Chlamydomonas reinhardtii: one gene and its partner. The main gene of each other region encodes a partner of the protein of the gene in region 2 in a complex. Links are inferred from orthologs where the notes say so. Each region holds a gene or a part of one and is shown on either strand. Other genes may lie near its edges.

Evidence for each region. The genes of interacting proteins can lie anywhere in the genome.
Region 1: CHLRE_12g487600v5 (region 2) and CHLRE_12g498050v5 share a complex: the UniProt entries of both Arabidopsis thaliana proteins name them as parts of the CPSF complex. The link is inferred for Chlamydomonas reinhardtii from reciprocal best matches to the Arabidopsis thaliana genes CPSF100 and CPSF73-I.

What each region holds. Positions count from the first base shown.
Region 1 is NC_057015.1:3,282,623-3,286,448, reverse strand, and holds the end of CHLRE_12g498050v5 (uncharacterized protein), read left to right. Parts: intron 1-220; coding exon 221-304; intron 305-570; coding exon 571-762; intron 763-1,057; coding exon 1,058-1,120; intron 1,121-1,329; coding exon 1,330-1,548; intron 1,549-1,748; coding exon 1,749-2,054; intron 2,055-2,288; coding exon 2,289-2,447; intron 2,448-2,658; coding exon 2,659-2,976; 3' UTR 2,977-3,326; downstream 3,327-3,826. UniProt on the Arabidopsis thaliana protein: Component of the cleavage and polyadenylation specificity factor (CPSF) complex that play a key role in pre-mRNA 3'-end formation, recognizing the AAUAAA signal sequence and interacting with poly(A) polymerase and other factors to bring about cleavage and poly(A) addition.
Region 2 is NC_057015.1:1,470,844-1,475,034, forward strand, and holds the start of CHLRE_12g487600v5 (uncharacterized protein), read left to right. Parts: upstream 1-1,391; 5' UTR 1,392-1,632; coding exon 1,633-1,781; intron 1,782-2,047; coding exon 2,048-2,216; intron 2,217-2,752; coding exon 2,753-3,060; intron 3,061-3,363; coding exon 3,364-3,491; intron 3,492-3,766; coding exon 3,767-3,878; intron 3,879-4,059; coding exon 4,060-4,156; intron 4,157-4,191. Other genes in the region: CHLRE_12g487652v5 (uncharacterized protein), read left to right, coding at 1-104, 415-488. UniProt on the Arabidopsis thaliana protein: CPSF plays a key role in pre-mRNA 3'-end formation, recognizing the AAUAAA signal sequence and interacting with poly(A)polymerase and other factors to bring about cleavage and poly(A) addition. Required for antisense-RNA-mediated gene silencing.

The DNA of each region.
Region 1 (3,826 bases), about 1.8 Mb from region 2:
GTGTGCGCTTGTGCGCTTGTGCGCTCACCAATGCGCACTCCGACTGCTGGCGGCACCCAAGGGCTGGCATGTATTAAATCTTTGCTGCCTAGCTTCTCAACAACGCACCCAGTAGCAACGCCTACTCCTTCAGAACCTCCTCCACTCTTCTCCGGCCGGGCCCCCCCCCCAAATCGTCGTACAAAGTAGTATGCATGGACCCCACCCACCCGCCCCACAGGCCAGCTCTATGATGAGCAAGGCACTTGGTGTGTACCAGACGTACGTGGAGTCACTCAACGACGACATCAAGAGGGTCTTCCACGTGAGCAGCGGCGAGGCCAAGGGGGGCGGGGCCAAAGGGGGCCAAGGGGGCTGGTTGGGGCCCCCTTGAGGGACAGCGCCCGGTAGCTCGACATGCGGCGCCTGCGGCTTGGCCCAACCCGTGCTGACAGCCCCGCAGCGGTTTTCCCATTATGTACTTACTGTTGCAGTTGTTGCCCTCGTCCAGCGCTCTCCGACCGCTCCACGCGCTAACGATGTCTCCACCCCCTTTCCCTTGCCCCTCTGCGTCCCGTCGCGGCCCTTCAGGAGCGCAACCCCTTCAAGTTCCGGCATGTGCAGACGCTCAAGAACCCCGCCCACTTCATCTCCGACTACAGCGGCCCCTGCGTCATCATGGCCACGCCCTCGGGGCTGCAGAGTGGCGCCAGCCGGGACTTCTTTGAGGCCTGGTGCGAGGACAGCCGCAACACCTGCATCATCTGCGACTTCGCGGTGCAGGTGAGGAGAGGCGGGCTGTCAGTTTAGGGAGGGGCGTGTGTGTGCGTCCGTGCGTCGGTGTGCACGCTGTAGTGCTCAGGGGCGTTCACGTCTATGTGTTTGTTCGTCTGCGCGTCTGTGCGGGTGCAGTGCCAGGGCCTAAGGGAGTGGACGGGGACGGGTGCTGGACAGAGGCTTCCGTCACGGTGCTCCGGGCATGCCGCTTGCAGCCGGCATAACTTATGATTCGGTACCATACGTACCTCTCACGATGCCTAGCTCACCACCGCCGCCGCTGCCGCCCTCTCCACCGCAGGGCACTCTGGCCAAGGAGATCCTGGGCGGCCCCAGCTCCATCACCACCCGGGAGGGCCGCAGGGTGGGTGCCGCCTGGCCCGAGACCTCGCGGGGGCAGGGCCCGGTCCGCCCACCTCGAACGCCCCCTCCTAGCCAACGCGCTCGTTCAGTACTTAGCGTGCGGCAACGCTGGGCAAGACCCCAATGCCCCATCACTTAGCTCCGGCCCTGGGCGTCGGGCTTGCACAGTACTAACGGCAATGCCTCCCCAATCATGTCCACCGCCGCCAGGTCCCGCTGCGCATCGCGGTGCACAACATCTCCTTCTCCGCGCACGCTGACTACGACCAGACGTCCGGCTTCCTGGACGCGGTCCGGCCGCCGCACGTGGTGCTGGTGCACGGCGAGTACGGCGAGATGCGCAAGCTGGCCAAGGCGCTCAAGGACGGCGCCAAGGCGGCGGGGGTGGCGCGCGAGGTGTACACACCCATACTGGCACAGACCGTGGCGGTGAGTGGGCTGTAGCAGGGGCGTGGTTTGGGGGCGGGGGCTGGGGCAGGATTGGGGGTGATGGGGGGGGCGTGTGGCGAGATTTGAGCAACCAGGCCGTATTAGGCCTCATCATGTATGCAATATTAGTACATCTTCGTTAATATGTATGTGTTTGTTCATGTGTGTGCATGCGCCCGGCCAACGCCCCGCTGCTGCAGGTGGAGCACAAGCCCGACCGCAGCGTGCGGCTGCAGGGCCGCCTGGGCGAGAAGCCGCCGCGTGAGGGCGCGGCCGTGCGCGGCGTGCTTGTGCGGCAGGGCGGCGGCTTCGCCACGCAGCTGCTGGCGCCCTCCGACCTGCCGCGATACACCAAGCTGCTCAAGGGCAGTGTCACGCAGCGCCAGGCCATCAGCGTGGACGTGCCGTTCACCGCCATCCGGTTGGCGCTGGAGGTGATGTTTGAGGGCGTGGAGGGAGCCGGCACGCTGCCCGTGGCCACGGCACCGGACGCGGAGGGCGGCAAGGTGGGTGTGGGTGGCGCTGGGTGCAGGCGTGGGTGCAGGCGTGTGGTGCGGGGCTGGGCGCAGATATGGCTGTGAGGCTGTGATTGCGTAAATGCCGTTTGGCGGCATTCACACAGCTGTGGATCTGTGGAGCAATAGGACTGTACTTCAGGTACCCACCCTAGCCTGCTCGCATCTTCACACTGACTCTGCCCTCCCGCTTTGTCGTCCTCCGCTTCGCAATGCTTCGTGAAGGGTGGCGAGAGCCTGGCGGTGGTGGTGGGCGAGCTGGTGACGGTGCGCTACGTGCCGGCGGACGACGCGAGCGGCGTGGTGTCGCACGTGGTGTTGGAGTGGGAGGGAGGCCGGCAGGGCGACATGGTGGCGGACGCGGTGGTGGCTGTAGTGCTGCAGGTGAGGGGGCGGACTAGGACGCGATCGCGGGCTGGCGGGCGCTTTTGAATGGGCACCGGGTGCCAGGCGTGGTGGGCGGGTGTTGAGGATGTAGCGGGTGCATGGGACGGCAATGGAGGGCAGGGCGCCTGCAATCTGGGGTCACTTCATGTTTGCTCCAGCACGCTCTGAGCCCGCAGTTTCCCATCGCTCCGTTCCCATTACAACACAGTCCATTGGCGAGCCGCCCGAGGCCACCAGCGCCGAATCCGCCATGCTGGCGGCGCGCGCCGCCGGCGACGAGGCCGCAGCCGCAGCCGCCGAGCTCCACCTGATTGGCGCGCTGCTGCGCGGCCAGTTCGGGCCGGCGGCGGTGGACGAGGCGGGCGGCCTGGTGCGGCTGGACGTGGACGGCGTGGAGGCCGCTGTGGACTACCGGGCGGGCAAGGTGGTGTGCGGCGAGCCGGGGCTGCGGGCGCGCATCGAGAAGAGCCTGGACCGGCTGGCGGCGGCGATACGGCCCGCGCCGCTGGACCGGCCGCATGACTAGGAAGACAAGGGCGTAGCGGGGCTGTGGGGTTATTGCTGGAGGAGTAAGATTATGTGGTCGGAGTACATGGTGTCGATTGTCAAGCGAGCGTTCAGGTGGGATAGAATGCGCTTGGTTGGCGGCGGGTCCTACGCTCCTTGGCGGGATCTGTACTTCTGCTTTCTGACCGACTCCGTGTCTGCAGGATGGATAGGGGTAGTGCTGCGCGCCGAACTGAAGTATATGTGGGAGTCCAGTAAGCAGTTAGGCGGCGACACAGTCTCAGACCGCACCGGCAAGTAATGCCCACCACCGCCGGCACCGCGCATAACCGCATATGAATGCAGGAGCAGACCGACACAGACAATGCCAGTCCTCATGTAACAACGTGTCGCAGCACAAACGGGCGCTGGCCCCAGCCCCGGCGGCAACGAACCAAAACCGGGCGCAGCACCTGCCTTGCATCACATGCCTCACTCCACTGCACTAGTGCATCTAGCCTGCTACAGTTTTGCAGAGGCTACTCTTGCCTCTATGGTGATGCCATCATACGCACATAATCCAGTTCTACCCGCTAGATACCCCATTCGTCTCATCCATGTCTACCCGCTAACACCCGAATTGCAAGAAAGCGAAAATGCCTGCCTGCGCTTGCGAAATTCTGTCCCGACCCCTATTCCCCCGAATGGTCCTCTTAGGTCTAGCCCGAATCCTACGTAGTTTCAGTCTCGTTGGCACAGCGTTCACACCTACATCCACAGCCCGTGTGCGGACTGCCGCACTGCCACACTGCCTGCATACACGAGAACCTATCTGCTCCTCACTACGCCAACGCCGATTGCCCCCACGCCGGTCCACGCTCAGGCTTATC
Region 2 (4,191 bases):
CTGGCGGCGTGTCAGTACCAAAGTGCAAGCCAGCCCAAGGCACCCTACCTACCTGCCTAAGCCGGCGGGCACACCTCCCGCGGCGCGGAGACAGTCATGCGCGGGTGGGTATACCCGGGATAGTGTGTTCGGTGTGCAGCACTGAATGCGCTTACGTCGGAGTCCTCACATGGAACTTGAAGGCTATGTGGCCACGCTATGTGGCCCAAAAGGCGCTTTACCAGAACCTTGGGGACTACCCGGAGGGCAGGCAGTGCCAGAATGCAGTGCCGTGGGTGGCGGTATGTCCGGACGAGTGCATGGCATGTCCGCATGTGCCTGCATCCGTCACCGCGTCACGTATTTCTAAGATGCCAGCACGTCCGCATGCTGACAGGCCTTGTCCGTGGTGTTCGTTCTGCCCCTTCCCACCAGGCGAGCGGCGCTGCCCGAAGCCCCACCCGCACCCGGCTGGGGCGTCGGGCGCCGCCGCTCCCCCGCTTGCATGACTGGCTCCTCGCCGGCTGTGAGGCCTGCCCGCTGGCGGCTGTGGGTGCTGGTGCTGGCTCAAGTGCTGATGCCTTCTATGCAACATATGAACTGCTGTGGGACTGGATGGCGTATGGCTGTGCCAGGCATTCTGCATGCGGGCACGTATGTAGTGAGTTGATGGCCGTGGTCGATGGGTGTGCGATGGAACAGTGCTAAGGCAGGTTGGTGAAGTTCCGTAGGGTGCAGCTGATTTCCAGATCCCAGCAGATGGCAGACAACTTGCAATTGCAGTGCAGGAGCGCGCGGAACGATGGGTGCTTGACATGGCACACGACTACCGGTGACAACAGGCCAACAGCTAAAAAGTTCCGTAGGGGCGTGTCCGCAGAGTGCGCGCGCACGCAGGCCATTATAGGTAGCCCTGACTGGCCCTGAGTTCCGGTGGAGGTTTGCATGAAAAGCACAGTGGCGATATCCTGAGGTGTGACGGGAGGCGCCCGGTGCGGTTCATGTTGAGGGCACGCTCAGCCGAACACATCCAAATGGTCGAGGTGCTGGAAAGGAGCAGGGTTGCGTTTGTTACCGCCGCTTCTCAGTGCGCCTCCTAGTATGATAGCCACACGGAAAACACGATGCCACAAAAGAAGCGGCTTGAAGTTGTTGGCGTGGCGTTCGAGCAATGTGAGGGCAGTCGCCGATTCAAGAATCCCGTCCTGTAACCTTGAAACGAGGGTCATATACTCCCACCCTGTGAGCATGTCAGCACACACCGGTCACCTATGTCAGCCATCGGTGAGATGTCAGCGCCCCGGCGCCAGGCCGAGACGACTTCAACACGGCGGGGAAGGGAGGGGAAAACCCGGCACGCTCCGGCCATCGCGCCACACTAAACGTTTGTCGCGGGGGCCATTGCGATGGTCATCACTTACAAGTTCAAAGCAAAGCATTTCAACACATATCTGCGTCAGCGAGCTGTGTCTTTTGCGCAAGTAGTTTTGCCAGGTTTCTTGCAGTGCTTGTTTACGCGATCCAGCACACTTTAGATGAGCATAATGTAGACAATTCATCGTTAAGACCTCATGACAATACAAACACACGAGCGCGCGGAAATGGGCGACGCGCCGGGAAGGTCGAGGCGCTGAACTATAGCCTAGCGAAAGCATGGAGACAGTTGTCAGGTACACGCCGCTATGCGGCGTTGGCGAGGACTCGCCGCTGTGCTCACTGTTAGAGATTGACGACTACACCATCCTCCTGGACTGCGGCTGGGACGACAGCTTTGATGTTGCGCTGCTGGACCCAGTGCTCAAGTGCGTATGTGTGGCTCAGGGGAACTTCAGGAGGGCGGGTGAACTGGAAGGGATGGGCAGGGGGAAGGGGCGTGGGGAAGGGGTAGAAAGGGCCAAGGGAAGGGGCGTGTCTTTGGAACTCTGCCCAAAGAGTCCCTGTGTCCGGCGTGTGCCGCCGCCTGCATCCCTTTCCGCCTCCACCGCCACCCCCTCCCACCCCTGTCCATCCCCATGCTCCCCGGCACTCTCCCGCCACCTCATCCTCTCCCTCACCACCACCCCACCAGGGTGCTCCCGCGCATCGACGCGGTGCTGCTGTCCCACCCCTCGCCCGCGCACCTGGGCTCACTGCCCTACCTGGTGGGCCGCTGCGGGCTGGCGGCGCCGGTGTTCTCCACCAAGCCCACTCGCCGCATGGGCGAGATGTTCATGTTCGAGGCGTGCCTGGCGCACCAGGTGGGGAGGGGGAGGGGGAGGGGGGGGGGTTGCGGAGGGCGAGAGGGGAGGAAGGGGAGAGGGGTAGGGGAGCGGGGTGCTGTGAGTGTGAGAGATGTTGAACGCGGGATAAAGGGGTTGCCGAGGGTGGGAGAATGGGAGAAAGGGCTGGGGGAGAGGTACAGGATGGCTGTAGGGGATTTGTTTGCACGATGCCTGTGAGCGTCCGGGTGAGTGTGGGCCACTGGGGCGGGTTGGGAGGTGCGAGCGTGTCAAGACAGCATGGGTGGTTGTGTCTGCGGGCGAGGCCGGGACAGACTGTGTGGTCGTCCAATCCCGCGCACGGGTCTCCATCCTCGTATCCCACGATCAAGGCCTTCCATGCGGTCAGCTTACCGCCCCCTTCCTTTCCCTTGCTGTTCATGCTTCCCCCCCTGCTGCAACGACCTGTCAACATCACCGCGTCTTGATCAATCATGCATGGAATCCCCCTCTTATCTAATCACTCCATTCGCCGCATGAACGGCTACCCCCTCCCTGGGAATCGTGGTATCCAGGCCGTGTCGGACTTCGCCGCATACGACCTAGACGACGTGGACGCCGGGTTCCGACTGCACCCCCGCTGGACCGAGCTGCGCTACAGCCAGAAGCACCTGCTACTGCCGCCCGCGGCGCCCGGTGCTACAGCCGGCGAGGCGGGCGCAGCGGGGGCGGCGGGCGGGGGTCAGGGGCCGGCGGGCGGCGGCATTGCCATCACGCCACTGCCTGCGGGCCGCTACCCGGGCGGTGCAGTGTGGCGGCTGACGCTGTTGGGCAGTGGGCAGGAGGTGGTGTATGCGGTGGACTTCAACCACCGCAAGGAGAGGTGAGGCGGCGGGATGGGGGCGGCGCGTGGGGAGGGGGGGGGAGGCATTGTCTGTCGCCATGCACTGTAAGCTGTAGAAGCAACGGAGAGAAGGGGAGGCAGCATGCGCAATAAAGCCGGGGGGGGAGCTCAGAGGCCTTGCCATCGGTGATGCGACGCTGACATGACGGTGCCCTATGCGTTGCGCCGCCGCCCACTCCCTCTCCCCCGCTGTGGGCTGCTTAGGCTTCTGGGCCCCGGTGACTCGGTGACGTGGGGATTGGAGTTGACTGCCGGCCTCTCCGCCACCCCCACCCCCCACAGGCTTCTGAACGAGACCACTTTCACCACCGCACTGGCGGCGCTGCAGCCGGCGCTGCTCATTGGCGACGCGGTGAACGGCCTGGCGCCGCCGGCCCCGCCCCGACACAAGCGGGATGAGGAGTTCCTGGGTGCGTGCGCGTCATGGCCGGGCGCGTTTGCCGTTTGTGTGCACGCTGGGGCGTTGCTGGGCGTTACTTCGTTGCTCGCTCGCGGGCCCATGGCTTGGGCAGTGGGAGTCGCGGTGGCTGGAACCCTCCCTGTGATGTATGCACTCCGTCTTGCATACGGCTCCCCCCTCCGCTAGTTTGGCTTCGTTTGGTTCAGTTTGAGCTGGTATTCACAACCCCCACCCACTACCACTTCCTTAACTCTTCAAGAATGTACCCCCCTCTTGGTGTGACAGACGCCATCACGGCCACGGTGGAGGGCGAGGGCAACGTGCTCATACCCACGGACGCGGCGGGGCGAGTGTTGGAGCTGGCGCTGCTGCTGGACGAGCACTTCGCGCGGGCCAGGTGCGTGTGTGTGCGCGTGTCATCACCTCTTTACTTCTTGTTTGCATGTGGAGGTATATGTATGTGTGTTTGTGTGTGTATATGTGCGACAAGGTGTTGGGGTCTCGCCTCGTCGACTCAGGAGTTTCGCAGATCGGGCACTGCCCCTTCCCACTCCCCACGTGGCGCCACCCACCCACAGGATTGCGGCCACGCCTGTGGTGTTGTCGTACACGATCAAGACGGTGCTGGAGTTCGCGCGGACGCAGCTCGAATACCTGGGCAGCGAGATGGTGCAGGTGTGTGTGCGTGTGTGTGTGTGTGTGTGTGTGTG